Linked DNA regions of Lytechinus pictus. The protein of the gene in region 1 binds, or shares a complex with, the protein of each later gene. Links are inferred from orthologs where the notes say so. Each region holds a gene or a part of one and is shown in the gene's direction. Other genes may lie near its edges.

Region 1 (7,739 bases):
GTCAGGCATAAAAAGGCTTATCTATACTATAGATTTGTGTCGGAACTTAATCATAGACTTGCCACAAATTAATGAATAATGTTACTGTGTTTAAGTCAAATGGACCGGTCATGGCCATCGTTTGTAACTTGTTGTAAGCAAGACTTGAAAACACACACACATCAGTACCAGTAATCAGTAATCAGTAATCTCAGTACCAGGAACAATTCCCTGCGCTGCATGTACGAAACTGCACGTACGCATACGGATAACGGTATGACGTAACAGTCATTCATTCATTCATGACATGGCTTGACCTATTACTTGAGCAAGTAACTTATAAATAAAACGCATAACAGAAAGTTTCAAGACCTGAAAGTGAGAGAATAACTTATAAATACGTTTGAAATGACTACTCACACGCAGAACAAACACGGAAATGGGAAGAAAAGGGTTTCTTGATGATTTTAAGCTCACAACTTCAGCTCAGTCGCCGACGGCGACGTTCTTCACTGGTTTCGTTTGCGCAATCGCTTCTATAATCTCCTGTTAAAGACACTAGATGGCGGAGTATTTTTTTTTATTTGTCAATTGATATGTTGTTTTTTCCCATGGAAGAGAAATTGGGCAGTTAACTTCATTTCTAATAATTCTAAAAATATTTGTAATATCATTGATATATTTATTTGTTTCGTATACATGTACAAAATCTTGATTTATATAAATTGTGATTGTAAACTTATTGATTTGAAGGAAGAAAATAAAATATTATAAAAAAGAAGTCATGTACAAATAGTAGTAATATTGATGAATTATTCATTAATTTGTTCTTCTGACACACTGGCGGATCCAGGGGGGGGGGGGGCACAGCCGGCCTATATATATATATATATATATATATATATATATATATATATATATATATATATATATATATATATATATTTATATTTCTATGTCTATATATACCATTGCAAAGGTCAAGTCCACCTCAAAAAAATTTTGATTTTAATCAATAGAGCAATCTCAGAAAAGCATATTAAACTGCTGAAAATTTCATCAAAAGCGGATGTAAAATCAAAGTTATCACATATTAAAGTTTTGCTTATTTTTCACAAAATAGTTAGATGCACAATTTAGTCACATACAAATGAGAGAATCGATGATGTCCCTCACTCACTATTTCTTTCGTTTTTTATTGTTTGAATTATACATTATTTAATTTTTTTACAGATTTGACAAGTAAGGACAAACTTGACTGACCCATAAAATGTTAAACAATGGTAAATACAAATGTTCAGGGAGAAATAAAACTTTGTTTCACAGGACAATGGAAAGAAAATTAGAATATTTCATATTTCTTATAATAAAATACAAAAGAAATAGTGAGTGAGTGATGTCGTCAGTTCCCTCATTTTGTATAGGGCCTACCGACAGGGATGTGCATAGAACTATTTTGTGAAATTAAGCGAAACTTTAAAAATGTCATAACTTATTTTACATCCGATTTTGATGAAATTTGCAGTGTCATGCTTGTTGGATTTTTCTCTTTTTATTCAAATCAACTTTTTGTTGGTTGGTTGTCCTTTAAATAAAACTCATGGCAAGTGATATGGGCTTGCTGCACTAGCTGGTGAAGAAAGTGAAAAAGACATGTAAGCGCTATAGCCAGAGGGGGAGGGGACAAATTCCTACACACTCTCCCCTCGATCAATTTGCTCCCTCACAATATCAACCCCCAAATTTCACAATAAATTTTGGGTCCCCTTTGAAAATTCCTGAATCCCTGGGCCCGTATTCCATAAACGAGATAAGCATGCTTAAGTCAAAAATCTAAGCATTTTGTCTTAGTTTTCTGTCTAAGACAAAATTCTTAGCCAAAACGCGTATTCCATAAAGAATTGGCTAAGAATTTTGTCTAAGAATTTGGCTAAGAATTTTTGCGCGACTAAGACAGATTTAGGATGAATGGCTAAGTAACTTTTCTTAAATATGCAGAGTCTGTATTTCATAAATTCTACATGGCTAAGAATTTTGCCCTAACTTTAAGACAGTTGTGAGTTGTCTTAATTGCTTTAAGACAACGTTTAAATCCAACAAATCATGGCCAATTTTTTTTTTAGAATTTATACCTATATTGCATTTCGAGCTACTTCCTCAGTTTTTAACCAATTTTCATGAAATTTGGAACACATATTGGTCTTAAGGTAAGGAGGTGTAAGAATTTTTTTTTTTGCTTTTTCAGAAATTGTGTTGCCATGGTAACAGTATATTATGGCCAAAATTTAAAATTTAAATTACTTCATCGGTTTTCTACCAATTCTCATGAAAGTTGGCTCACACATTGGATTTGAGGAAAAGATGTGCAAGACACAATTTTGCATGTGTCGGAAATTGTGTTGCCATGGTAACAGTATATTATGGCAAAAATTATGTATAAATCTTGCTATTCCAACTACTTCCTCAGTTTTTAACCAATTCTCATGAAATGTGGCACAAACATTAGTCTTGATGTGAAGATGTGCAAAACATATTTTATGCCTATATACAAAAATTGCGTTGCCATGGCAACAAATAAAATAACAAAAACTAGATGAAAATCTTGTAATTTGAATTACTTTATCAGTTTTCAACTGGTCAATTCTCCTAAAATGTTGGCGCACACAATAGTCTTGAGTTGAAGATGTCTAAGATATACTTTTGCCTGTATCAGAATTCGTGTTGCTATGGTAACAACATGTTATATAAAGAAATTAGGTGAAAATCTTGTGGTTTGAATCCCTTTATTAGTTTTACCAATTCTTATAAAAGTTGGCTCACACATTGATTTTGAGGTGTAGATCTGCAAGACATATATTTGAAAATTTGTTGCCATGGTAACAGCATATCAGATCAATAAATGTGTAAACAGCATGATGTGTATTGAACTACTTCTTCATTTTATGACATTGGCCTATATGTCCATAAAATGTAGGTTTTGAGCTAAAATAATCTGCAAGACACATTTTCTCATTCATCAAAATATGTGTTTGTATGATAACTACATGTATACGCCAAAAAAGATTAAGACAATGGTCAATGCTAACTTTTGTTTGGCTACATAGAGAACTACATGTAGCTGAGGGCTTAGTTCTAGTTTTTTTTTTTTTTTTTTTTTTTTGGGGGGGGGGGCTAGACCTCAAGATTTCGAACTACAGCCCCTAGTTTAGATCTAAGCCTAGATCAAGATTCTTTAGTCCTAGAAATAACCCAATGCTAGATCCCTAGCCTACTTCCTTTCTCAGGCCTAACGTTAGATGAGTAGGACTAGACTAGATCTAGCCTACATTTACTATTTTTAGATCTAGAATCTACATTGAGATAGAGTCTACAAGTCTCTAGATCTACACCTATTACTATGACCCTATGTACACCTAGATTGGTATAGTCTAGATCTAGATAGGGTCTAACTTTTAGTCTAAGTGAGTAAGTCATTTAGTCTAGATCTAGGCCTAGGTTAGAGATTTCTAGATCAAACAGTAGACTAGATCAGCCAGTCCTAACGTTAGGGCTACCGGATAGGCTAGAAATAAAATCTAGAATGAATAGAAGAAAGCACAGGCTAGGCCGCCTAGGCCCTACCCTAGATCTAAATTCTTATATAAATCTAGGCCCTAGTCTAGACTGAGCTGTTGCCAGTGTTGGTCTAGGTTTAGGCCTGTTTTCTAGTCCTGGAAACCTAGATCTAAACAAGTCCTCAAAATGTATAAAATAAAAACTCCAAACAAACAGATGGACCTAAAGCAGGAGTAGATCTAGATAGATGTCTAGACTACTACTAGGACTAGATCTAACTTTAGGCATAGTTGGCAAGCAATGCATAATAGCGATATATCTAGCACTGTTGACAGGAATAACCGTCGTTTCTGGGGATTTATTTAAAAGTTTCTGACATTTACTGTCATATCACATTGGTGAGACTAGGCCAACGTAACGTTAGACTGTTTAGTGTCGTACTCGTAATACTAAAATAGCGGAACAACCAAAATACAGTCGGAGACTGAAGCTTTTGGTCTAGGCCTAAGTCAGATCTATTCTAGACCTACATGTAGATCTAGATAGATCTATCCCTGTCTTAAGGCTAAGCCAGGCTAAGTCCTGCATGTTCTAGGCCTAGACCAATACTAATATAGGTCTATCGTTAGATCTAGGCCTAGTATGTAGCTTCAGTCTCAGTTGCTCCACTACGGCACTAGACTAACAAGTCAAAGTTACGTTTTGCTTCAGCCTTCAGGAAAGTAAAAAGTAAAAACAATGTTCAATTCTCCTCCAAACAGACGGATATTAGTTGTAGATCTTGGGCCTAGGCTAGATCTAGGCCTAATGTTAGACCCAAGACTAGTCTCAAAAGTTACAAATGTTTTCCCTTAGACCCTAGGTCTACTTCAACTGAAGTAGAATAAAGATGTCGAGAGGAATCTACCCAATCCCATTTAGATTTTGACAAACAATACATGAAAAGTAATGAATGGGACTGATACATAAAAAACTGTGCAAGTCACTCGGTTTGGGATTGAAATGTTTTGGTAATTAACAAAATATAGAATACACTGAATAAAGAATTCTTACCACATATGGGTGATGAATGCTCTTCTTTTACTACAATAGTTGTAATTAGTTTCAATAAAATCAAACTTGTTAAGAAAAAACAACTTCAATGACATTTTTGCTATTTTGTTGCAGTCACCCCTGCAGCAGTTTAGAAGGTCATAGAATTTGACTTTGAGACTTTGGCTTAGCCATATCGTCTGACTTGAGACAAGTGTCTTAAAGTTTATAGAATATCCTTAGGGAAGATTTCTTAGACAAGCAAAATGCTAAGACAAATTGCTAAGACTTAAGCAAAAAGCTTATCTTGTTTATGGAATACGGGCCCTGAGCCTTAACATTTACGCCCCCCTCAACCGATTTAGCGAATGGGGCCGAGTTTCCGTAGCTGATTTTTCTCTGGGCAAAAAATTTGAGGACCGCTACGACTCCAATTCCGTCTGCAACTGACTTCCAAAGTGAACTTAAAATGACGGGAGAAGCTAAATCTGGCTGGGAATTTGATAAATTTGATGACGGCTCTTTGAGTAAGTATTCAGTATTTATTTAATTTTATATTTGACAAAGTATGAATGTCGAAAACAACTTTGTAAGTGAGTTTGTTCGAGCGGGTGGATCGGGTTGGAGCTCGGAGGCGGATGTTGTTTGGGATCACATGACACAATTGAGGTCTGTGTGTGTAGATTGCACTAGCACTGTACATTCACATCACTGCTTTGACTGTGACTGTGTCTGTGAGGCCGAGGCCGAGGGAGGGTGATGAGCTGTGATGTGCACAGCTAGAAAATGGGACTGTTACAACAACGAAATCATTAGACTTGTTTTTATTTTATTTTATCCAATGATAATCATTCTTCTGGCATCTTTTTTGTAAATAAGACAATGTCTGGGGCGGGCAGCCGGCTGGTTTTTAACATCAAAACGGAATAAAAAAGTGGGTGGTTCCCGGCCAGACACCGAGAGCTGAGAGTGAGAGTGAGACTGAGAGAGACAGACTGACTTCACTTGGTGCTAGACAGCTGGCAGCCGTCTGTTTCGAGGAGTTTTTTAACATTTTTTATTTTTTCATTTCTCTTCGTACACAGACGGCTCGCTATCATGTAACCCAGGGAGCTCCGGCCCGCGCAGCGGGCTGGAGCCCAGGGGCTTACTTTAACTGGTATGATGGGGTGTCCAAACTTCGCGCACTTTTCAAAAATATTCATCAGGCTTAATTTTGTTCACAAAATATTCATAATTTATACAAAACCAAGTCAAGAAATAGTTACCACATTGACGGCAAGATCGTAAACTATAAAATCATGGACGAAAAATGTAAAGTAGGTCAAGGGGTTTCGCCGGTATCGCGATCTCAAAATTCTATTCCGATCGGCGAATGCGGGCTGTGCTGGAAAACCGTTCAGAAAAAGTGTGACCTAACTTCGCGCACCAAAGCTTTTGTGGAGATTCAAACAAAAACTCAAGCTCAAAAAGTGAAATTTTATATCAGATTGATGGCAAAATGCTATGGAATCGGTTTATCTCACATTTTTGATGATTTCTGCTTGCAAAATGGTGATATCGTGATGCTTGTTGATTTCTTCAAAACGGGCGCTAGCGGTGGCAAATTTGCCGATCTTTTGCCAATATTTTCATGAATACTGAACTCATCCTAAAGAAATTTTCACTGAAGGGTAATTTTAGGTCGCTTTTAACGATGATGATGTCAGATTTTAAGGATATTGGCTAGTTTTTGAGATAATGACCGTCCGCGAAGTATGGACACGCGCGAAGTTTGGACTCACTGCCATACATACATAATGTACAGTACTCTATCTGTAGTTTTCAAGATAGTTATGCAGTCATACTGTAAGTCCTTATTCTGTAATAAATTAAAAATGTTATGGTTATCACTATCAGGTATTGATAGTTATAGTTTCAGATAAATTGGAAAAGGTCAAAGATAATTTCAGGTCAATACACTTTGTTAAAATTTACATTTTGTTGATCATTTTAATAGTAATTAATCAAATTAAATCAAACTTTTATGAGATATTTATGGGATATCAAGGATGATATCAAACAAATAATGTGTTGCCAAGTCAAGGGTAACGGTCAGGTTTACAAAATCACTATATTTGTGTAATATTCCATGAAGGTTTTATAAAGGAGTATCATGTGAGCCATCATGTGAGTCAAATGTCAGGTCAGTGGATCAAGGTCAAAGGTCATTTCATGCCCCCCCCCAAAAAAAAAAAAAAAAAAAATGGAGGAAAATTTATATTTTGTCCTAATTTAAAAAAAATTATTTAGTACATTGCCTTATCCTTGAACCTTGTAATTTATAAAGAAAATAGATCTGTCAAGTCAAGTACTGTATGATGGTGGGCCCCAAGTCTGCGCACCTAACAATTTGAGTTAAGATTTCACATGAATTTCTTCTTATTTCACAAAATCTTTCAGTTAATAAGGTTCCTTATATTATCATGAGTAAATGTACCAAATTTCTCATTGAAAAATGAAAGAAAATATAGGATTTTCTTGAAAAAACCTCGGGCAGTCATTTTCAGATTGAAAAAAAAAATGGTACCCCATGTCTGCGCACTCATTCACTTTGCACACGATTCGGGGATTTTGATGAGAAAGGCTGCATTTTGAGGCCGTCACATGAAATGCCCAAATTTCATTATTTTTCCACCATTTTGAGTCAGATTTTTTTATGAATACCTGTCTATGTATTGCATGTGTAAAGTCTGTGTTCGTTGCGTATCTTCTTACTAGAATCGCGCAAATACGCGTGTGCGCAGACAAGGGGGACTGCGCAGACTTGGGGGAACTTGCCATACATGTTTTCACATGAAAGTATATTTAATCAATTGTAATATTTCTAGGGCTAAGTTACTTTGCTATGTACTATATATTATATAGCATGTTTCTTTATTTAAGCAGATATATAGATATTAAAAGGAGCTCTTAAACTTCCAAGGGAAATAAGATGGGCATTGAGGCTAGTCAACTTGGTGCCCTAAACCTTAGCCCTCAGTGGCCTTGGCTTTAGATTAAATTCAAATGATATACTAAAGAGAGAAAATGTTTTATATGAAATTTTCACAGAGTCAAAATTGCTGCTAAAATGAAATTATGCAGGTGAGACAAGACAGCCAGGGGTATATTCTAAGTATGAATGTCCAATG
Region 2 (7,890 bases), on another chromosome or scaffold:
TTAAATTGGCTTCACCATAATACAGTTTATTCTTTTTAAAAACCTCCATTGAAACTTGCCTCACCTCCTTTTAAACTGGCTTCACCATAATACGTACAGTTTATTCTTTTTAAAAACCTCCATTGAAACTTGCCTCACCTCCTTTTAAATTGGCTTCACCATATACAGTTTATTCTTTTTAAAATCCTCCATTGAAACTTGCCTCACATCCTTTTAAATTGGCTTCACCATAATTTGTAGTACAGTTTATTCTTTTTAAAAACCTCCATTAAAACTTGCCTCACCTCCTTTTAAATTGGCTTCACCATAATATTCAGGTAAGGTATATTCATTCTTAAAAAAAAAAAACATATTGTTCACTTCCCTCACCTAGATCATTTGGCTATATATAATACCTTTTATTCTACACTATTCTTCCCTTTAAAAAAACCTGATTGTACTCCTGCCTCCCCTGATCTGACATTTGCCTCTCAACGTACTGGAAATAGATACCCTTTTTTCAATATTTTTGTGTTTTTGACACCCTTATCACGTTACGTACGTAACCTGCCCTCTCTTGAAAAAGACATCCCTTTTACGTGTTTTTTTGGTCGCGCATATGGTATCCACTCGTCAATGTAAGTGGCCCCCCGGGCGTACTGTACATAGTGTTATTTTATTATCTCTTTATATCGGAAACTTCGTTTTACCGAATTGCCATGCACTCTCTCCGACGCGTTTGAAGTCTTAGACAGCATGGCATACTACCAGCCGATGGTACACACACGCACACACACACACGTTATTTGACAACTTGTCCCTGGAGCCAAAGTTCCTCGCATATAACTATCTGCATGCCTGCACGCAGTGTGTATTGAACACGCACGACCACGATCTAATGAATATTCATCGGCGAGACTGACGTAATTTTACGAGTCTCCTTTCAAACTTGGATCATAAGTGCCTACCGTATGAATGTCAATCCCAAGGAACAAAGCGAGTATATTAAAGGTCAAGTCGAACCCCAGAAAAATGTTGCATTGAATAAATAGAGAAAAATCAAATTAGCATTACGCTGAAAATTTCATCCAAATCTGATGTAAAATAAAAAAAAAGTTATGACACTTAAACGTTTCGCTTACTTTCACAAAACAGTGATAAGCACAGTGACACGCATATAAGACAATCGATGATGTCCTTCACTCACTATTTCTTCATTTTTTTTATTATACGATATTTCATTTTTACAGATATGACGATAAGGAACAACTTGACTGAATCATGTAGTATTAAACAATGCTAATTCCACATGTTCAGGGAGGAATTATTCGTTTTTTCACTTGAAAATGATGAGAAAATTGCAATATTTCATGAAGCACAAAAGAAATAGTGAGTGGATGACGTCATCAGTCCCCTCATTTGCAAACCGATTAGGATGTACATATAACTGTTGTGTGAAATTAAGCGAGACTTAAAAATATCATAACTTTATTATTGTACGTCGGATTTTGATAAAGTTTTCACTGTTTTACTTGTTGGATTTTTCTCTTTCTATTCAAATAAACTTTTTGTTGGGATGGACTTGTCCTTTAACGAATGCTATTAGTCATGTTAGTAATGAAGAATCGCTGACGTTGGAGTGAAAATATACAAGTTTAAAATTGTTCAGTTCAGTTCATTTATTCATTAATGAGTACAGAATTATATAAACATAAAAGATACACTTCAAATATATACATCAATAATTTGAAATGTAAACATGCAAAAAAAAAACAAATTAAAATAAATACAATAATATTATTAGGCCTGTGTGCAGTAATGAAAAGGGTGATTAAATAAAGCCAATATATATAGTGGCCTTGTGCATGAGGTAAAGTCTCCTAAAATAATAAATGATAATATGGAGGCTACTCAGTATCAACATGATCAAAGTAAATATGAGAACTTCGGTTACAAAGGTAAATGGATTAAAGGGATGGTCCAGGCTGAAAATATTTATATCTCAATAAATAGAGGAAAATTCACAAAGCAAAATGCTGAAAATTTCATTTAATTTCGTTTCATTTCGTTCAATTTGATCAAGATCGGATAACAAATAACAAAGTTATTGAATTTTAAAGATTGCATTATTCCAGTGAAACAGTTCTAGGCATGTCTTTATAAATATTTTATTAGGTGGGCTGATGATGTCATATCCCCACTTGTTCTTTTGTATCTTATTATATGAAATTATGTTTATTCAAAATTTTTCTACCAAGAACTAAAACAATTGGATTGACAACTGATTAAGTGCATTAATTATTTATTGCCGCAACTTATTTCATCATAATGGAGACACATCATTTACACAATGTATGAAAAAATGAAAAATTTATGATTTCATATAATAACATAAGAAAAAGGAAAGTGAGGATGTGACTTCATCAGCCCACCTAATGAATATTCATGATGATGTGCATATAACTATTTTCACAAAATATTGACAAATTTTAACATTCAATAACTTTGTTATTTGTTATCCGATTTTGATGAAATTTTCAGCATTTTGCTCTGTGAATTTCACTCTATTTTTTTAGATATAAAAATTTTCAGCCCGGATCATCCCTTTAAGAAAACGGACGTACAGGATAAGCACAAATGTTTTACAAATCGTGTATAGAATTGTAACATAGCTGCAAAATTAGGAATATTTTGAATAAAAGTATTGTTTCAATTTTCATTTAAAGAGGGAAAGAGACTTGCCTGTGCCCTGTGGGAACAAATTTCGGTATAGAAATTCCAGATTATTGGGGAGTTAAAGCATAAACCTTTTTGTACATAGGACATGTAGGACTTTCCTACTTTCCAAAAATAAAACAAATTACGTATAATTACATATAATTCTGTGTCAATGTACAGCATTATTGATACAAAATTTTTTACTAATCTTATTTGTCAGTATTTTTTAAAGTAGAAAACCCTAATATTGCAACTTGATATTGATAAAGATGGACAATATTCAAAGTATTAAGTTTACGAAATAAATGAGATGAAGCTGAAAGATAATGTCTGTTGGTGCATATATAAATTGTTTTTTTTTGTAATTTAAAAAGTTTATCTAATTTGGATTTACTGCAATTACCCCAGACATCAATACAGTAAAGAATGTGTGATAATGTTAACGAATTATTGTAAATAGAGAGTACCAGATTTAGGAAGGCAACTTCTTAACTTATACATAATTCCAATACATTTCAATTTTGGTGAACTTTGTGAGAATTTACAGTATAAATGTAATTTTTTTAAATTTTTTTCAACTTTCTTATTATTTCATATAACAACATATTTGCAATTGTTCATCCGGTCCGAATCTTAACCCAGAAAGGCCCGGGGGCGGATTCCGCCGCCCCATCATTTTTCACGATAAATCCGCCGAGCTCGCTGACTCTTTACTTTCAAATCTCGCACAACTTTTGAGACCAAATTTGCGATGCCCAGGTACGCGGTTACGAAATACTACGCAACATTATGTAAGTGCATGTCAGACCCAAAACTGCTCAAAAACGTGAATTCATGTACAAATCCAATGCAAATTGTGTATTTAGCCAAAATTCATAAATGTATCATCATTTCTACTCTTACTGATTAAACTTAATTAATTTTGTCTTGTTTATGATCAGAATTATGTCTGCATCAATTTCCATCGGAAAAAACAATAAAAAAAATAGAATACATTAGAAAAAAATGCGATACCATTTTTTTTTAAATACATTTTATTTTGATCGGGAACCTACAAAGAGTCTGTGAATAAAAAAAATCGGAGTTTTGAGGCCGTATGATAGTCGATTAGAGCAAATGATTTATTTCATGCAAAAATTAATTCAATAAATGAAATATATTATTATTTGAAAAAAAATCATACAGCCTTGTAGATCTTATCGCACACTACCACTGTTTAAACTTAATTAATTTTGTCTTGTTAATGATCAGAATTAAGTCTGCATCAATTTCCCTAGAAAAAACATCGAAAAACAAGGAAATACATAAGAAATTAAAAAAATAAAATACATGAGAAAAAATTGGGATACCATTTTTTTTAAACTGATTAAACTTAATGAATTTTGTCTTGTTTATGATTAGAATTAAGTCTGCATCAATTTCCATCGAAAAAAACAAGGAAATACATAAGGAAAAAAAATACATAAGAAAAGAAATGCGGTACCATTTTTTTAAAGTACATAATTTTGATTGGGATCCTACAAAGAGTCTGTGAATAAAACTATGAACGCACTGTATTAGCAGTTTTGGCGCCGTACATAGTTGATTAGAGCAAATCGTTTGTTTCATGCATAAAATAGCATAATTAATTCAATCTGTGTTAAATAGCTGCAGGATTCAATAAATGGAAAATATTATTATTTCAAAAAATTAACCATACAGCCTGTAGATCTTATCGCACAGTACTACTGTGCACCCCCTCCCCCCGGCTGTGAGATGGGTCCAAATAACCCGGCTCTTTTAGGTTTAAGACGATGCTCTTAACTTTAGAAAGTCTACGAAGTGGATGCTATACTGGGCGTTGTGGCGTGCGCCTGTAATCCAAGCTGTGGGGAAGTTACAAATTGATGCAGAGGTTCGAGCCCTGGTCACGTCTTTCGGATGGTGACGTTAAAGGTCGGTCCCAGACGTAAATAATCATATCTGATTGATACACGTCTGACAAAACTCAAATACACACACACACACACTATATTCCTGTTGATACGAACAAAACAAGGATTAGATAACATGGGATCAATTCCCTCAATTCAACCATGGACCCCCATGGACCTACTTTGCTTGTAGGTCCATGATTCAACCCTCAGAAAAAAAAACAATTTGCTCGCTCGCGCTCGGCAAGTATTGCAGCCCTCTCGCGTCCACTTCTCGCCAACTAGCTGTAATAATAAACCGGAAAGTGAAAAACTAAGGCTGAGTAAAAAATAGACTTTCTATCAATACTCGCCATTAATGGTTAACAAATAATCTATTTTCGAACCAGGATGGACGCTGACGGATTACCCCTTGTAGGACCAGGAGTAGATTTGACGAAGGTAAGAGGATTTTATTGTGAAAACGATTTTTATCAGCAGAAAGTTAGGGGCGTCACTAATTAATTTTCTTCGGTCCCACATGCCTATTAACATGTGTGCATGTCAGTGTCATTTTGTACAATCGTCGCGTCGCTAGCTAGCTAGTCACCCAGTGCAGTTTGTTTTGGCGCTTTGTTACAAATAGCTAGTCTTGAATGTACCTTTTTTTTTGCATCGATTAACCTTTTGGATAAGAGAGCAAATAATGAGCAAAGTGTGTGTGAGACAATTTTCAACATGTTCAAATGAACTGCTAGTCAGCTGATGAAAAAGTCTGACTAGTCTCTGTCTGTCTGACTGTGTTTTGTTTTGTTGCAATGATGTAAGTGAAAGAAGAGTGTAGGCCTACATGCTGCAGCTGTGCTTGCCATACATTGCCATTGGTTCTCAGGCTTTAGTTTCTTTGACTTTGGGATGTAATTCCATTCTGTTCATGACATGTCACTTAGTGCTTTAGTGACTTAGTCTTAGACAGCTGGCAGCCGTCTGTTTCGAGGAGTTTTTCAACATCTTTTTATTTTTTAAACTTCTCCTCGTACACAGACGGCTCGCTATCGTGCAGCCACCATTAGGGGGTGAACAATGCAAAATCCCCCCGACGGGGCACATCGATTTTTGTCTTTATTTCATAAAAGGGTCATTCTTCAATAAGTGTATATTTTCGACCATTGTGGGATGATGAAATTCAAAACTATTTCTAAACTTTCTTTTTGTCTGTTTAATATATTTGTACATCTGTAGATTATGGAAATACTGTTTGGCGCGATCTTTATGGGGACTAAGTTATAATTTTGGGGTCTTTTTAAACATGTACACTGTTAATGCGTCATCTCCGTCACAATAGACATCACCAGCACTTACACAGATATGGGTATGTGGGACAAGGTAAAGTTAATGATATCTGTAGTACTGTACGGTGTACCAATTTAGATCTGAAGTCCTCCAGACCAAGGCCAAGGGTCACTTTTCATGTTGTAAATATAGCCGTAAGTTTATCATGAGCCCATGCAATGTGTCAATTAACTAAGTTCATAATTCAAATCAAACTCATCATCTCCGTCACGAAAGAGCCGTGACGGAGATGATGCGTGACGGAGATGACTATCAGACACATATGCACCGATAATCAATGTCTGCAATACCAACTAACGCGAGTGCGGCATTGGCTGTTCTGTGGGCACGTTAATCTTTCATAGAAACGATTAGAAAATAAATGTAACACCTTTATCTAGCTAATACCAAGCGTTCGGAGATGACGCTGAATAAAGGTACGCACCTGGTTTTTGACGAAGATGCCGCCCGAACAATGTCAAAACCCCGGAGATCAGGGAAAAAACGTGTCGATTCTTTCTCCGTACTATCCACCGGCCATTTTGCAACCACAATCTTGAAAACCGTGCACTTTGTTGTACTGTAGATGGCGCACTGAAAATGCGTGACGGAGATGACGCAAAATCGTGTGACACAAAATAATAGGCCTTAAAAACAAAAAAATCTTAAAATCGTTGCTTGCGCGTGTATATTTGAGTGGTATTCGTTGTCAACTCATAAAAATTAATTTATCAAGGCATATTATTACAAAAAGATGCATAATTTTAAAAATGCAACACATGTTTATGTTTACATTATGTTATTGTGACATGCAATTTTGAGGGGGGTGGCCATAAAAAAAATTAAAAATAAATTATATATGATATTTCTTTTTGACCTGTTTTAATTTTTCATTATTTTTTACATACGTGTTAGTCAACACAAAGCGGTAAAAAATAAGAAAACTTTTTTATATTTTTTCATGGGACTCCAAAGCCATGTGACACAAAAATATACACTTATTGAAGAATGACCCAAAAATATTGAAAAAGAATTGAACCAAAATAGAGATTATTATTCCGTTTTGGCCTGAAATGCACCAAAACGGGGAAAAATAAACTTAAAAGGGGAAAAACAGTGACTTACTTCAGCTGTCGCGCAACTTCACTTCCCCGTTTTATCCGAGCTTAAGTACATAAACATATGGCCATTGAGTCCCCTACTCCCCTGTACAGATCGCTCTAGAACTTCGGTCTCTGTATTTGGTGAGTGGAGCCAACGTAGTTCAGCGGAACAACCAACATAATTAACATAGACTGAAGCTTTTGGTCTATTAGTGACTTAGTCTTACCTAGGCATACCTTACCGCAAATACTGGCTGGAAGAATGCTGAATCAGCAGTCGAGCTTCCAGGTCTATGTTCTTGTCAGCTACAGGTCTTCATGTCAGCTTCCTTCAATCTTCATGCTTCAGTAAGTTCAAGGAGGCAGGGGGGCAAGTTGGTGAAAATTGCTAATTTTTTCCTGGAATCACAAACACCCCTTCATCCTCTTAGTTGATTGTATTGTCTAGATCTACATTTTTGTAATTCAAAACTAAAAGCACAAAGTTGTTATTCTTGAAATTTTCTTCTGTTTTTTTTTTAATTTCAGGTTGGTGCTATACACTCCAAGCGAATGCTCGCCTTTTTAAACCACTTCATCATACACACAACCAGGTTTCTCAACAAGTTCTCCTGTGTTTGTGAAACGGTAAGGAGTAAATTGGCTAGTCACCAAGATTTAGTTACATTAAATTTACCTTCATCATGGACTCCTATGTTGATGTTTGTACTTATCAATATCATGTAAAACTATCGCTGGCCTGGAAAGTTGGAAAGTGCTCTTCAAAAGTGCCATTTTATGGTCAAAAGAAGTTATGTATTTACTAGCGACAGGAAATTGCAAATTTTTGTACCCAATGGTCATGATGGTACATGTAGATTATATTC
Region 3 (7,324 bases), on another chromosome or scaffold:
CAAAATATCATGAACACATAAAAAAAAGTGGTCTTCATTTGCCTTTTTTCACGTGATTATGAATTAAGATCATTCAACATGCATTTTAGGCACCTGAAACCTAGTGGGGAAAAGAAATTATTGTATATTATATTACAGTATTACAGAAATATTTTTCATAACTTTATGAAATATTATTTGCTTATAGGACATACTGTATGTGTTCATCATTCAGTGGTGCTCGATCGCATTGTCTGTTTAAAGATATATATAATCCTGCCATACTTGGTGTGTTAGTTTGTTCAGCTTTGGGGTCTGATAGGGGGGGGGGGCTCATGGGACGGGAGAATGCTCATATACATTCATTCTTTAAATTTGCGTAGTTGTTACGTCTTTGTTTTATTATTTGCTTTATAGCTGCATACATAAGTTGTTGAAATGTTATTTTTGCATGAGTTCGGATTATGTCTCTTTTCTACAATTTGCCTGCTTTGTTTATTACACTGTTATTTAATTTGTGTATTGCACTGCTGCAATTATCATTTTGTTCTATATTTTCTTGATTATGTATGTATGAAATTTATTTGAATGAATAATAAAGATCACTACAAAACAAAAAATACTAAAACATCCCGTTTTCAAGTCCATATACATCAAATCTATTTCCTCGCACTTCGAGTTATTATTGTTTTATAAAGTGACATATGCTTTTTTCATGACTATTTTATGTGATTGAATATAAATCATTTCCAGTCCGTATTTACGTTCGCATTAGTGAGATATGTCTGCTCTTCATGGATTCCTATAAACAGTCCTTGAAATGTCCCCCTTTCTGGTCTAATAATAAAATCTCTTTAGTCTCTCTCACCCATGGCTGTAGGGAGCGGAAAATTCGTTTTACCCCCCCCCCCCCCCCACGTACCACCCACCCCAGGAAAAAAATCTGCGTTCGGCTTCATGCACCCCCTCCCTCCCATAAGTTATTCTACAGAGAATATACAGTGCGTATCAAAAAAAGTTTACACTTAGAAAAAATCCTGTAAAATTATACATTTGTAATATCCTGAAGATTTTTCCACATTTTAACATTGGTACAGATCCATTTAGGCAAATGACGATATAACTGTCGAAAATATTTCCGCTTGAGTGAGCACCACTTACTTTTGAAAACTTAGTGAAAAATGTTTTGCGCAGAACTTTGAAATAGTTATGGGAATAAAAGTAGACCTTAATTATGAAGAACACATTGAATTTAGCTAGTAAAATTGGTTTGAAGATACCTTTTACCTTTTTAACTTGTTTCCTTGTCCAACACACTTCGAAGAGTGCATTGCACCCATGGGCGGAAATCCCGGGGGGGACAGGGGGGACGTGTCCCCCCTACTCAAAATAGTAGGGGGGACACAATATCAAATGTCCCCCCTACTTTTTTTGGTCTTTTATGATGGTAAGAAATACATCATTCTAAATCGAAATAAAACATGTATTTTTTGGGACGAGTTGGGACGAGATGACCTTACTTTTGGGATGATAACCTTTTTTTTTGCTTGTCAAATTTCCCGCCTCTTGTCCCCGTAGGCGGACCAGGGGGCCGAGGGGCCCGCCCCCCCCCCCCCCCCCCCCCCCCCCTCTTGGCGGAGCAAAAAAAGAAAAAAGGGAAAGAAAGAAGGAATAAAGGAGGGAAAAGAGAGGAGAAAAGAAGAGAAGGACGACGAGTGCATAAAATAAGATGAGGGGAAGACTTGAAAAATAAAAATAATCTTTCGTGCCACTATAGAAAATTTTTCGCTCGCGCTTCGCGCTCGCATTACCTGTTAGGTGATTTAATATCTTGTTCAATATGGAGCTCGAATGTCAAGTTTGGAAGTCAATATACAAAACATATTTCACCTCGGAAATCGAACTTTCATTATTTTGTGTGATTTACAAATTGATTTTTAAAAAGTGCTCTGTAAAAATGTCAGTTTTATGGTCTGAATATTAACATTTGCTGCTTGCGCTGCGCGCTCGCAAATTTTGATTTATCAGGTACCTATTATTTTCGTGTATTTCATAAAGTTTTCAAAATATCCCTTTTCAGGTCTGATTGTTAAGACGTATCAGCTAGCGTGCTGCACGCTCGCATTTTGATTGGCGAGTTATATATGTTTCAATATTGATTATACAACAAACTACTTATAATCCCCTATTCATGACACAGTTTATCAAAAAATTTACCTCGCAATTTGCGCTCGCATTAATGGTTAAAAATACATTAACTGATGCATCCTATTCATAATTACAGAAGTGAAATGTCCACTTTCTATGCCATAATATCATCAGATTTCGCGCCCTCATATAACGGGCATTAATAAATATGATATTAATTTAATAATCAAATTGTCCCTTTTGTTTCATCTCGCTTAGCAAGAGGAATAGGAAGATAGTCATCATTTTCATATGATGACATGTTGTAAGGATGTCCCGGTCCTATGTCAAAACTCAGAGTAATAATAATGAAAATATCAGCTCCGGTTTTTAAGTGCGATCCATATCCACCTTACAATTTTTCTACAAAGTGCTTGAAATATAAAGCTGAACTTGACTCTTTTTTTCAGATCGGAATATCAAAGTTTCATGATTTTCATGATTGAAGATGTATTTAGAATGCCTAGATTCTAGGTCTAAATATGAAACACGCGCGCGCATGTTTATTCAGATACTCAACTTGTTCTCTATTTAAATCATTATCCAGTTTCAGATCACAATATCACTATTTTTCTGCTCGCGCTTTGTGCTCACATTATTAATGTAGGAAGACCCCATATTACTCATCCTTTTCATGATTTACAAAACATGAACAGAGTGGCCCATTTTTAGGTCTAAATCTTGATTTTTTTTCTGCTCGCTCTTCGCGCTCGCATCAATTATTAAATTATATAGCTATCCTGTTCACGATTACAAAAACTGATTAAAAGTTTCCTTTCTTTCTTTAGAAAGTTCAAAATTTTTCAGCTCGCGCTTCGTGCTCGCATCTTTTAATTGTTGAAAATATGTAACGCCTTCATGGCTAAGTGCAAGCAGTCCTTAACAGCTACCTTTTCAACAGGTACCAGTTCAAAACGTATATAAAAATTTTCTGCTCGCGCTTTGCGCTCGCATTATTAATACTCATCCTTTTCATGATTTACAAAACGTGAATAGAGTGTCTCGTTCAGTAAATATTATAGGACTAAATCTCGAAATTTTCCGTTCGCGCTTCGCGCTCGCATCAATTGTTTACTTATATACCTATTCTGCTTGAGTTACAAAAAGCGCTTAGAATTTCCATTCTTTGGGTGAAAATGTCCCAAAAAAATTAGCTCGCGCTTCGCGCTCGCATCATATAAATAAGGATTATGATATTATATATTAATTAATAAGAATAAAGCTAAGAAGTGACTAATGAGGACTATCCCTTCAAAGAAACAAACAAAAATCATCTTCGAGCTGCCGATCGGGGAAAATATGGCTGAAACAAATTTCCGCCCCCCCCCCCCCCCTATTGGCGAAGGCTGGATCCGCCCCTGTGTCCCCCCTACCTTTTGGGAGAGATTTCCGCCCCTGATTGCACCCCACCCTACTCCCCCACACACTGAGGCCATCGTGGCGATATTTGCTCTACACTGAGCTGTGATTTACATGAAATGGCTTAATTTTTAGGCTTGATTTTCATTTTGTTAATCATTGTCAAGCTTCGAAAGGGTGTGGAAAAACAAGTATTAAATGAAATTTGAAATGTAAACCCACTTTAAATGATAAAAACTTAGTGAAAAAATGCTGGAGATGTCTGATATAAACTTTTGTTCAGATTTAGTTATGTCCTAGCTCAGATCCAGCTGGCACAAAAAGGGTAAAAGTTGTGCTTACTAAGTGTTGAAATTTCAATTTGGGTGGCAAAATTGTTACAAAATGCTTGAATGTATCTGTTGTATTTCAATTGACTAAAAGTGCAAGGGAAATGTATGAGAAATGTTTCGCAGGGTAAATTTGATTTCGCCCTTTCCCCTTGACACAGCGTGAAACTGACGGGCATTTCTGTGCAAACAGCTAGATCTCTGCGAGCTTTACAAAAATGGACAGTGCTCACTCAAGTGCAACATTCTGTCAAACTTTTACTTTCATTGGATAGAAGAGACCCAAAGGTTATATGTGAAAAATTACCCACGTGTTGTATATTTTTTTAATTCCCAGGGCTTTTTCAGAGTGTTAATTTTTTTTTGATACGCACTGTAGAATCGCTTTCGTAATGCCCGTGATTCCTTTCTTCCTACAGTTGTGAATCCCACGGTCAAAACATATCTCCTTCCCGGATCTCCTTTCACTCTTATGATTCGGAAAGAGGGGTTTATATATTCATGAGCCGATTGTCGGTCAGGGTTGCCTTTTTCTTTCATTTGAAACATACAACCAGTTGGTGCCCCTGATGAAAACTGAGTGAAAATTAGTTCCTTCCGGCCTGAGTGAGTCCTATCTTTTGAAGTGCCTACTCGGCCTATTCTAATCTATGAAGGGATCACAGGAAATCACTTTTAAAAACTGCTAGTTTCTGTTCTCTTTTGTCTTTGCAATGCAAGTTGAATTCTGATTTTTTTAATTGTAGAGTAACACTCTCTGTGAATAATTTATGAAAACTTTGTGGAACTTTTAGAGAATCTAGAAAGGTAAAAGTAGAGCATTTTGGATCAACGACGCTAGCGCTCGGTATATATAGCCGTGCGCCGCGACCGCGAAGAGGTCGTGAATTCGGATCTTTTCGTTTCGGAATTTTGTTCGATAATTTACATTCACATGATTCAATATGGCCGCTCCCTGGAGGGTCTGAGATAGTTTCTTGCTAATTACTAGATCTTCCCATTTCCAGTTCTATTTTTGATACAGTGAGCTCATTTATTGAATGTGTGAGTATGCATTTTTGCTTTTCATACAATCATTTATTTTTCATCCTGTCTCATTAAAGATATTTTTATGAAGTTGTGTGGGGGCGGAACCTGGAAGTCGTTAAGCTCGGTCCCATACGTCGACTCTCATGTTATGTTTGGTTAGCTTTTAAAGAGGCTGTTCTTACTACGTTCCTAAAACTAGTTTACTATGGCTCACAGCTCCTGTGTCTCACTCAATCCTCACTCAACAAACTTGACTCTGCCCAACACTCCCTTTTCAAGAAACTCTTGGGTCTACCTAACCCAGAGAGCTCCGGCCCGCGTAGCGGGCCGGAGCCCAGACGCTCAGTGTGCAAACGGGCATTCAGGTGAGAGTACCGTGAAGTTTGGTCAAAATAATTTTGATAATACATAATTAAAACAGAAATTAAGCACTTACCACGATTGTATGGATGATAGTCTAACGAGTGGCAGTTTCCTGACATCGAGGCACAGACTGGAACCTCAAAAAACGATCAGTTCTGTCGCGGTAGCTCTCCTCTTTCAGAATTCAACACAAAATGGCCGATCGAGACCGAGGCTAGTATAGCACTAGCGCATATAGACTTTGTCAAATTCGCGCATGCGCCCTACACCCTCTCGAACGGCCATTTTGCTATGAATTTTGAAAGAAGGAGAGCCACCGCGACAGAACTGATCGTTTTTTGAGGTTCCAGTCTGTGCCTCGATGTCAGGAAACTGCCACTCGTTAGACTATCATCCATACAATCGTGGTAAGTGCTTAATTTCTGTTTTAATTATTTATTATCAAAATTATTTTGACCAAACTTCACGGTACTCTCACCTGAATGCCCGTTTGCACACTGAGCGTCTGGGCTCCGGCCCGCTACGCGGGCCGGAGCTCTCTGGGTTAGGGTCTACCGAGATCCACTCACACGTATTGCGAGGTTAGTATTAGTATACTAACCTCGCACCACGAACCGCGTTTGGCAGTGGATTTCTAACTAGTGGGTCGCGCGTGCTGGGATCTCACTTCTTGGGTCCACAACACACGACTTCTATGGCTTGAATTTTCTGTGCGCGGCGGCATGTAATGAACCCTTGGGTGACCGAGATCTGCCCCCAATATCTCTATCTTCCTGTTAACTGACCTACTTCACCTCTCCCGCGAGATTTGAACTGAACACTTTCCTTCTGATAGGACAGCTCTTCAACATCGACCATAGTAGATTTGAATTTCGCTCATTCCTCCATGCCCTCTCCATCAAGACTCCTACTATCATCTACTGGAATAAACTGCTCTCTAAGTACAACCTTCCCTCACTCACCTCTCTCCTATCTGAAGATTTCTCATACAACCGCTGGAAAACTCTGTGCAGGAGTAAAGTGTATGATGCCCAAATGGAAGAAGCCAGAGTGTGCATTGAGAAATTCTCATCCCTCAGCCTATGGAGTAACCTCTCAATGCTCCCCAAGATATCGTCACTTTACCCCTCTTCACTACCGACCCATCTTCGATCAGCTGTGATCTTACGCGCTCAGCTACTTACGTCCACCTATCCCACACAACGACGCCTAGTTACCATCAGGAAGAGCACAGACCCAACCTGCAATCTCTGCTCTCTAGAGGAAGAAACCACTACCCACTTTCTTGCCTCATGTCCAGTCCTTTTGACGCAGCGTCTGGACCTACTACAGCATGTTGAGAACCTTGAATTGCCTGCACACATCCTAAATGATTTCACTGGAAATGACCCCCTCATCCTTGCATCCTCCATCCTTTTTCCCTCACACTCTCTGCCCTCCTCTTCTGCTTCCTCTCTGACATGTCACTGCCTAAGATACATCTTAAAAATCCACCTATGTCGACAGCACCAACAAGAAAGGACCTGAACTTTGCGGCTTGCCGCCGATCTCCGAAGACCGGAGGAAGGAAATATACAAGAACAAGAACTGGAAACTAGTTTAGTGGAAACTAGTTTAACGCGTAGTGAGAACGGTCGAAGCGATCTTGCAAACCAGTTTGGAAAACCACCTCGCGATGTAGTTTTCAAGATCGCTTTGCCTCGTTAAACTGGTTTTACTTTTAGCGTAAGTGTAGCCAGGCGGCTTCTAGAGAGTAAAAATCATTTACTAACGTAAGGTCACTCTCATGAAGCCAGGCCTTCTATCCCATAGACCCACACAATGGAAGCCAAAACCTGAAACTTTCACCCCCGAGATTTCTACTTTCCTTCTAAAAGATCTAGCTCTAAATCACTCTAAGCACCAAGGCTATTAATTCCTGTGTTAAAAAAGTGAGTGCACGCGAATTAAATGTTGGACTTAAATTACTAGATCTTACCATGGAGCTCCATGACGAAATCTGTTCTTAAATTAGACTCTAGATATTACTAAATTGAAAAAATGTATAAATAGTACTCGCCTGGTCTTTTCTTGGGGTA
Region 4 (8,021 bases), about 42 Mb from region 1:
TTTGATACATAATATCTGCAAACATCCTATTTACTAGAAAAAAAATTGAACACCACCATGACCATGCGTGCTAATTCACATCTGTGTAAATGGAGATAAACATGAAAGAAAACATTCGTTTGCACAACCCTGAAATCTCATTAAAAGTAGGTCTATCACAACATCGATCTATATACCCCTGTCCTAAAATATTATATCTTACGTATAAATATATCGACAAAGTACCCTTCCATTTTAATTTATGAAATAAATTGACAATAAGAACGCAAAATAATATGTTAACAGATAGGCCATATGTGTATCGTGTTGGTAACAGCCAGTGGCGTACCTAGGATTTTCCACGGGGGGGGGGCAAAACCGTCCGCCAAAAAATTTGACAAGCAAAAAAAAAAAAAAAAAAAGGTTATCAATAGAGGTATTCAAGCTCGTCAGGCCCCCCCCCCCCCCCCCCCGTAGATACGCTAGTGGTTACAGCATGGACTTACATGGTGACAGGGCCCTTCAGTTGAAGAAAAAAAAAACATATATGAATGAAGTGTTTATGCCTATATTATGATAATATGATTAATAAATTGAATTGAATGATATTCTAATAATTTAGGTTCTGCAATTAAAAGCCCGGACAAGCTTTATGTATAATGTGTTTACTTTGTCAACAGATTTATAAGTTAGTTCTCGCCGACAAAAAGACTGACCTCCAGATGGAGTATACTCCATACCCCTCTGAGTTTTCCTCTTTTTTTTTTTTTTATAGACAAAGCCTATGAGCCTACAGATACTCATCCTTATAGGGCACATTGATCAAAAGGGAAATTGTTATTTCAATCATTATTTTATTTGTCATATTATCTTATAGGCCTAAACCACTTCAGTCATATAATTATGGTGTCACCTCTAATAACCTAGATCGTCTGTAGAAATTACAGAATAAAGCAACAAGGGTCATTTACTGTCAATCATCATAATACACCCCCCCCCGATTACACTAGCTGAAAGTAAAAAATCGAATTCAGCACAAGTCTCTGACATGATTGAGGAAACTCCTGCACCATACCTGTCACACCTCCTAAGAGTTCGCCAATTAATGTACAACACTCGATAATCATCACATATATCTCTCTTCACATCTCACGGACATTCAAATCAATCAGTCAATAGGCATGGGTGGAAATCTCAGGGGGGACAGGGGAACGCGTCCCCCTAACCAAAATGGTAGGGGGACACGATTTCAAATCGAATACATTCGTAATTCCGAAGCTTCGTTATTCCGAAGGTTCGGATATTCCGAAGGTTCGTTATTCCGAAGGTTCGTATTTCTGAAGGTTCGTAATTCCGAAGGTTCATTAGTCCGAAAACGAAATGAGGTTCGTAATTCCGAAGGTTTGTTAGTCCGAAAACGAAGTGAGGTTCGTAATTCCGAAGGTTCGTTAATCCGAAAAAGAATGATGAGGTTCGTAATTCCTTATTTCGTTTTCGGACTAACGAACCTTCGGAACAACGAACTTTATTTCGTTTGCGGATGAACGAACCTTCGGAACAACGAACCTTATTTCGTTTTCGGATTAACGAACCTTCGAAACATCGAACCTTATTTCGTTTTCGGATTATCGAACCTTCGGAATAACGAACCTTCGGAATAACGCCACAAATGTTCGGATTAACGAACCCTTTTACGTTTTCGGATTAACGAACATCGAGGTATAGCCAATTTACGTGTTTCGGAATTACGAACCTTCGGAATAAAGAACCTTCGGAATTACGAAGTGTAACCATTTTACATGTCCCCCTTCTATTTTTGGTGGAAAGAAATACATCATTAAAAATCGAAATAAAACATGTATTTTGGATGAGATGACGTTGCTTTTTGGGTGATTACCTTTTCTTTTTTTTTCTTTTTTTGCTTGTCAAATTGTCCAGCCCCTGGTCCCCCTACTTTTATGGAGAGATAGGTCAAAAGGTGATATGTAATTTTCTGTGTTTGCCCCCAAAATATTGGAATGCAGACATTACCTCATAAACTTAAACAACGTCCTTATATTGATGTGTTTCAGAAGATGCTCAGATCTTATTTGTTTTGATATATTGCAAGTAGTATTTCATTTTGTGTTGTTATATTTTAAGTTTTTGTATAGCGCTTTGTAACTTTTTGAAAGAGCGCTTGATGAGAAGTTATTATTAATAAAATTGTGCCCCCAAAATTTACGCTATTGAGACGAAATTGGGTGATTAAAAGTTGTGTATGTGTGTGTGGGTAGGGGCTGTGCCCCTGGCATATAAATCCAGTGGCCTAAGTGGCCACGCCCTATATTGGAGGCACAAAAAAGAACGAAGGGGAAAAGAGAAAGAAAAAAGGAGGAGGAAGGAGAGGACCAAAACGAGGAAAGACAAGAGGAGGAAGAAAGATAAGTTTAACTGGTCCCATAATGTGGAATAGTCTCCCTAGCAACATCCGTTAATGTTCTACAAGTATTAAAAAACAACATATAACTTATTTTTTTCAGTATATGATCTCCTTAATAATATACGGTATATTGTAAGGACTTCGAGTTTTTGGTGAGTAGAATTTATTGTCAATTGATTTGATGTTTCAAATAAACATTGCTGCTGTTTATTTTGTTGGTTTTCATCTTTTGATTTTTTTTTACTGATTATTGTTGTACATTGTAGCAACATGATCAAACAATTACAGTATAAAACACATTACATACAAAGAAATATAGTGAGAATTAAGACAATTATCATTAAAATCATTATATATTAAAGTGGGGACCATTTCTTATAATGAACTTGTTGAGATTTAATACTATACTTTTCGTTGCAATGGTATCATCAATAAAATCGTATAAGAGACAGGGGGGGGGCACAGTGCCCCCTTTTTTTGAAGCACTGAAAAGGTGTCCTTTTTACGCAAGAAAAATGCCCCCTCACGAATGTGTAAATGTTCCCCTTTCATCTGAGGAGGACCCGTTTTAGGTGTCACCAAGTGCTCTTTCTCGCATAGGTGCCATTTTGTTGTTGTTGCAAAAATGCGCCCCTTCTCGAACCTCTAATGTACCCCTTTCACCTGAGAAGAACCCGATTTATGTGTTAGAAAGTGCCCTTTCTCGAATCAGTGCCCCTTTTTACCCAACTTCAAAGTGCCCCTCACGAACGTGTTCTGTGCCCCTTCATCTGAGGAGGACCCGTTTTATGTGTTACCAATTGCCCTTTTAGGTGCCATTTATTTTGTTGCAAAAATGCGCCCCCTCTCGAACGTGTTCTGTGCCCCTTTCACCATAGAAGGGCCCATTTTACGTGTTAACGAGTGCCCCGAAACAAGAAAACAATAGTCTAATTTTATTCTATTCAATTCAATTTGCATTTTTTTTTCATTCTCGATTAAAAAACAAATATAAAATAAGATATGAAAAACTATTTACAAGCAAGCTAGAGTATACAATGAAATGGGGAACTGCATAAATAAAGCCAATAGGCCTTATAAGCGCAGTTCCCAGAACATTGATAACATGACATGGTATACAGAAACGATAAGATGTAGAATTAAACATGATACATAAACAATAACAACAACAACAACAAATAAACACAAAGAAACAGAAAAAAACATAGAAAGTGTCAATTTACAAGAGAAAAAATAACTAGGCCCTATACATTTTGAGATATAGAAACTGTTTAATTTTTTAAATGACTTAACAGACTTGCATTCATTTAGGGATGGAATTCCAAATCCCAGGGAAATTATGTCGTAAGAATTTCATGACATTATTAGTTTTCACTGGCCATAAGTGGAACGAATCTCTAAAACGGGTATTGGAAGAGAGTCTTTTAACCTATGTTAATACTTCATGCTTTTATTACATGTATTGGAACGAAATTTTGAAATTCAAAATTGTTTGTCTGAATGAAATATTGATTACACACATTCGATTTAGCCCTATTTGAAATCAAAACAGTAGCTATAATGAATAAATATTAATACTTCATGCATTTATTATCGGAATGAAATTTTAGATTTCTTTTTCGTACTGAGATACTGATTACTAGTAATTTCTATACATTTTTTTTAAATTAATATCTCGATACTTCATGCACTTATTGTAATTTTCAATTCTTTGTAATAAAATATTTGATTACACACACGAACTTTAAACCTCTTTTGAGGCAGTACAGTATTTTAGAATCAATATGTTAGGACTTCACGCATTTTTTCATTAGAATGAAATTCTAAACTTTCGGTACTGAAATACTAGTTAATTCTATACAGTAGCTCTTTCAAATAAGGTGTTAAAGTAATACTACATCGGGACTACATCATTGTCCATTGGAATGAAATTCTAAATACTGGTTATTTGTATACTAGTAGTAGTATACCCTTTTTTAAGTATTGTTGTCTTTTGTCAAATGGAGGCTTGATTTATGTAAACGAGTAGCTTATATAAATGTAATATATGTATAATATTGACTTGAAGTTGTGAACAAAATGGATAAATAGAGACGAACTTGAAATTGAACTATAGGCATACAGAATACCAATATATTTAAATATTTTTGGGTCAATTTTTAAACACGAGTCCCATTGCATATGCACCATAAAATTAACACATTTATCAGTTAAAACTTTGTCTATTTCAAGCAATGAATTATTGAGTTCCTCGTTACAGGCATGTTTCCACATATTTTTTTCGCAGATGGGGTACAGAACATACATTTATGAAAGTTAAGTGTGGAAACATGACATCATACCCCCCCCCCCCCCCCCGGCCGCTGCGCTGCATGACGGTACGGTGTGCATATATCAGGGCCCAACTGAGTTCATTTTTGTTATTTGTTATCAGATTTGGATGATTTTTTCGATGTTTAACATTTTCTCGGTGAATTTTACTTTATTTTTATTAGATATAATAATTTTCAGCCAAGAGTGTGGGGCCTAGCGCCCCCCCCCCCCCCCCCTACACGGCTAGCTCAGACCCAGAGCTCAGTCAACTTTGGCAGTGCAGTGCATGCCATATGCAGTAGTACATATACCCCGGAAGTGATGGTGAGTCAACATGCTAGACTTGTACCGGTACGTAGCTAGTTGTAGCCTGTGCATGTGACCAACATAAGTTACCGTACCCGACATCGTTTGCGCAGGATCCAAATAATAATATATTTCATCGATTCTGTGAATTGTAAGTAGTAATTTTTATAACGAAAAGTGCTAACAGTCATTGCTCATTTCAGATGGATTTATTAGCTGTGAAACGTAGTATGAAAGTTAAATGCTCTACACTTACTAGTATCGGCAATGTAACGTAACTAAGCCAGCCACACGGGTTGGACTCCCTTGGCTTGGGATCGGGGCAAAGTTCGTACACTGTACCGCCCAATCTACGCCCCCTTGGCCTTGAAAGAGTTTACAAAGACAAGGCCAGGGACTTGCACATTTATTGTTTAGACAGTAAGGTTATGCCTAAACAAACTAGATACATGTACAGATTTGGACTGGGGGAAAGCTGATGCAGCTATAGACAGCTGGCAGCCGTCTGTTTCGAGGAGATTTTTAACATTTTTTTATTTTTTAAATTTTCCCTCGTACACAGACGGCTCGCTATCGTGTAGACCAAAAGCTTCGGTCTCTGTTATGTTGGTTGTTCAGCTGAACTCTGTTGGCTTCACTCACCAAATACAGAGACCGAATTTCTAGCGCGATCTGTACAGGGGACTCAATGGCCATATGTTTATGTGTATTAAGTTCGGATAAAACAGCTACAGGGCAGTGAAGTTGCGCGACAGCCGAGGTAAGTCACTGTTTTTGTTCCTTTTAACTTGATTTTCCCCGTTTTTTGGCAATTAATGCCGAGAGGGAATATTAATTTGCATTTCAGTTGCGTTAATTTTCAAAAGTTTGATTCATTACAGACAAAAATTGAAGAGCCCCAACGGGGGGATTTTGCATTGTAAGTCCCCTAAAGGAGAAATTAAAAAAAAAAAAAAATGTTTAAAAACTCCTCGAAACAGACGGCTGCCAGCTGTCTAGCTATCGTGCTGACACCATTAGGGGACTTACAATGCAAAATCCCCCCGTCGGAGTTCAGCTGAACAACCAACATAACAGAGACCGAAGCTTTTGGTCTACTGCAGCTATAGACCAAAATCTTCGGTCTACGTCTCTGATTATTGCATGTTCCGCTGATTGGCTTTGGCTCCATTCACCAATTTTAGGCTACGTATTAAAGTTAGACCAAATTTCTTACTCGATCTGTACAGGGACTCAATGGCCATATGTTTATGTAATTAAGTTTGGGTAAACCAGGAAAGTAAGACTGTAAGTCAATGTTTTTTCCTTTTATAGTTTATTTTTTCCCGTTTCGGTGCATTTCAGGCCAAAACTGAATAGATCTAATATTATTTTAGTTCTTGTTACATATTTTTATGAAATAAAGACAAAATCGATGAGCCCCGTCGTGGGGATTTTGCATTGTTAACCCCTAATGGCGGTTGCACGATCGCGAGCTGCCTTTGTACGAGGAGAAATTAAAAAAAATAAAAAATGTAAAAAAACTCCCCGAAACAGACAGCTGCCACAGTACCAGCTGTCTACCGCAACTATTGTTTCTGTCAGTTATGTGTGGATTTTACTGTAGAATGAAAACTTATTGACAACATATATTGCCAGAGCTCCACTTGCTCACTGCGCAGTGCAACTAGCTAGGAGGCTCCTAGAGAGTAAAAATCTTTCACTAACGTGTGCTTACTCTCCAAGGAGCCAGGGATTGTGTCTTGTTCATGTGCATGTACCGCGAAAAACTGAAACTTTCGCCCCTGAGATTTCTACTTCCTTCTAAAAGATCTTGCCCTAGATCATGTAAATGGGATACAGTTTCATTTCCGACATTTCTATGATATTGATTCAATTTTAAAACAGAATGCAAAAAAAAAAATCTTGAAAAGACAGGAAGACTTGCCGCGATGTTTGCATCGCCATCCTGTTCTTTTTTGTCTTTCGCCAAGCTACGTAACGCACATTGAGGATGTTTTCTTGAAAATAACTGTCTATGATACATGATTTGTAATGAAAAGCTGCCTGTGGGATGAATTACTCTGACTTGTGACAATCTGCTCTATATCCTACACTGTATGTCCATTTCTTTAAAGACCCTGACCGGTGTAAAAACAATCATATATCAAAATAAAGGTAATGATTCATACAATACGAATATACCAAAAATATTACATATATCTCCTTCCAATAGTTAAAAATATTAAATAAAAATCAAAGAAACTGCTCCTCCAAAGTACGCTTCGATTGAGCACCCCCACGTCGCCTGGAAATGATGACGTCACGTTGTGTCAGGAGGGTTGTGATTCCATAGGTTTGTGTACAAAAGCATTGGGTATTTTCTTCCATTTCCATGTTATGAATCCATTTTTTTTTTTGTTTTCAGATGAAAATGGCACTCAAAATTATTCACTGTTCAAATTGTTGTAAACCTACAACTATTCACTACCTTTTTTGTGATTTCTTTGTTTGGCTCTTATTGGGCCTAAATTGCTATGTCAGGAAAAGTTGTTATACATAATCTAAATGCAGATAGAATTGAAATCTGCGCCAAATAAGCAGGAAATAAAATATGGCAAAAACTAGTTCTAAACTGCAGATTTCATAAATTCAAGCTTGTGGGTAAAAATATATGTGATATCCCTCTGTGATAGAAGTGAAGAGAATGAAATGCGTTATCTGGAAAGCAAAAAAATCATCCAGTTTTTCTGTGTACAAACCTATGGAATCACGACGCTTACAACGTGACGTCACGGTCTCGAGGCAGGTGAAAAGCACAATAAAGCCTATTTTCTAAGCGGGGTTCGGGGTTCGAAACCCGATAATTGGAATATTCTTAAGCAAAATACTCAGCTGGGAAGCGGTGAAAATGCATAAAGCATACCTTGGTGTATTTAGTAGCTTATAAGCTTTCGATTGGTATATAATTTATCAATTTCATTTTCGGGTCCGGTCTGGATCTTTAAACAAAATGATTGTG

What was found.
Region 2: WASH complex subunit 4-like (region 1) and WASH complex subunit 3-like share a complex: the UniProt entries of both Drosophila melanogaster proteins name them as parts of the WASH complex. The link is inferred for Lytechinus pictus from reciprocal best matches to the Drosophila melanogaster genes SWIP and CCDC53.
Region 3: WASH complex subunit 4-like (region 1) and WASH complex subunit 5-like share a complex: the UniProt entries of both Drosophila melanogaster proteins name them as parts of the WASH complex. The link is inferred for Lytechinus pictus from reciprocal best matches to the Drosophila melanogaster genes SWIP and Strump.
Region 4: WASH complex subunit 4-like (region 1) and WASH complex subunit 1-like share a complex: the UniProt entries of both Drosophila melanogaster proteins name them as parts of the WASH complex. The link is inferred for Lytechinus pictus from reciprocal best matches to the Drosophila melanogaster genes SWIP and wash.

Annotation. Positions count from the first base shown.
Region 1 is NC_087247.1:32,109,904-32,117,642, reverse strand, and holds the start of WASH complex subunit 4-like, read left to right. Parts: upstream 1-4,727; 5' UTR 4,728-5,035; coding exon 5,036-5,093; intron 5,094-7,739. UniProt on the Drosophila melanogaster protein: Acts at least in part as component of the WASH complex which may regulate wash nucleation-promoting factor (NPF) activity and is required for its membrane targeting during endosomal sorting.
Region 2 is NC_087263.1:2,398,234-2,406,123, forward strand, and holds the start of WASH complex subunit 3-like, read left to right. Parts: upstream 1-4,882; 5' UTR 4,883-5,000; coding exon 5,001-5,051; intron 5,052-7,552; coding exon 7,553-7,651; intron 7,652-7,890. UniProt on the Drosophila melanogaster protein: Acts at least in part as component of the WASH complex which may regulate wash nucleation-promoting factor (NPF) activity and is required for its membrane targeting during endosomal sorting.
Region 3 is NC_087261.1:28,106,271-28,113,594, reverse strand, and holds the start of WASH complex subunit 5-like, read left to right. Parts: upstream 1-4,318; 5' UTR 4,319-4,460; exon of another isoform or gene 4,461-4,898; intron 4,899-7,324. UniProt on the Drosophila melanogaster protein: Acts at least in part as component of the WASH complex which may regulate wash nucleation-promoting factor (NPF) activity and is required for its membrane targeting during endosomal sorting.
Region 4 is NC_087247.1:74,320,095-74,328,115, reverse strand, and holds the start of WASH complex subunit 1-like, read left to right. Parts: upstream 1-5,017; 5' UTR 5,018-5,171; intron 5,172-8,021. UniProt on the Drosophila melanogaster protein: Acts as a nucleation-promoting factor by activating the Arp2/3 complex to induce actin polymerization. Participates in both linear- and branched-actin networks.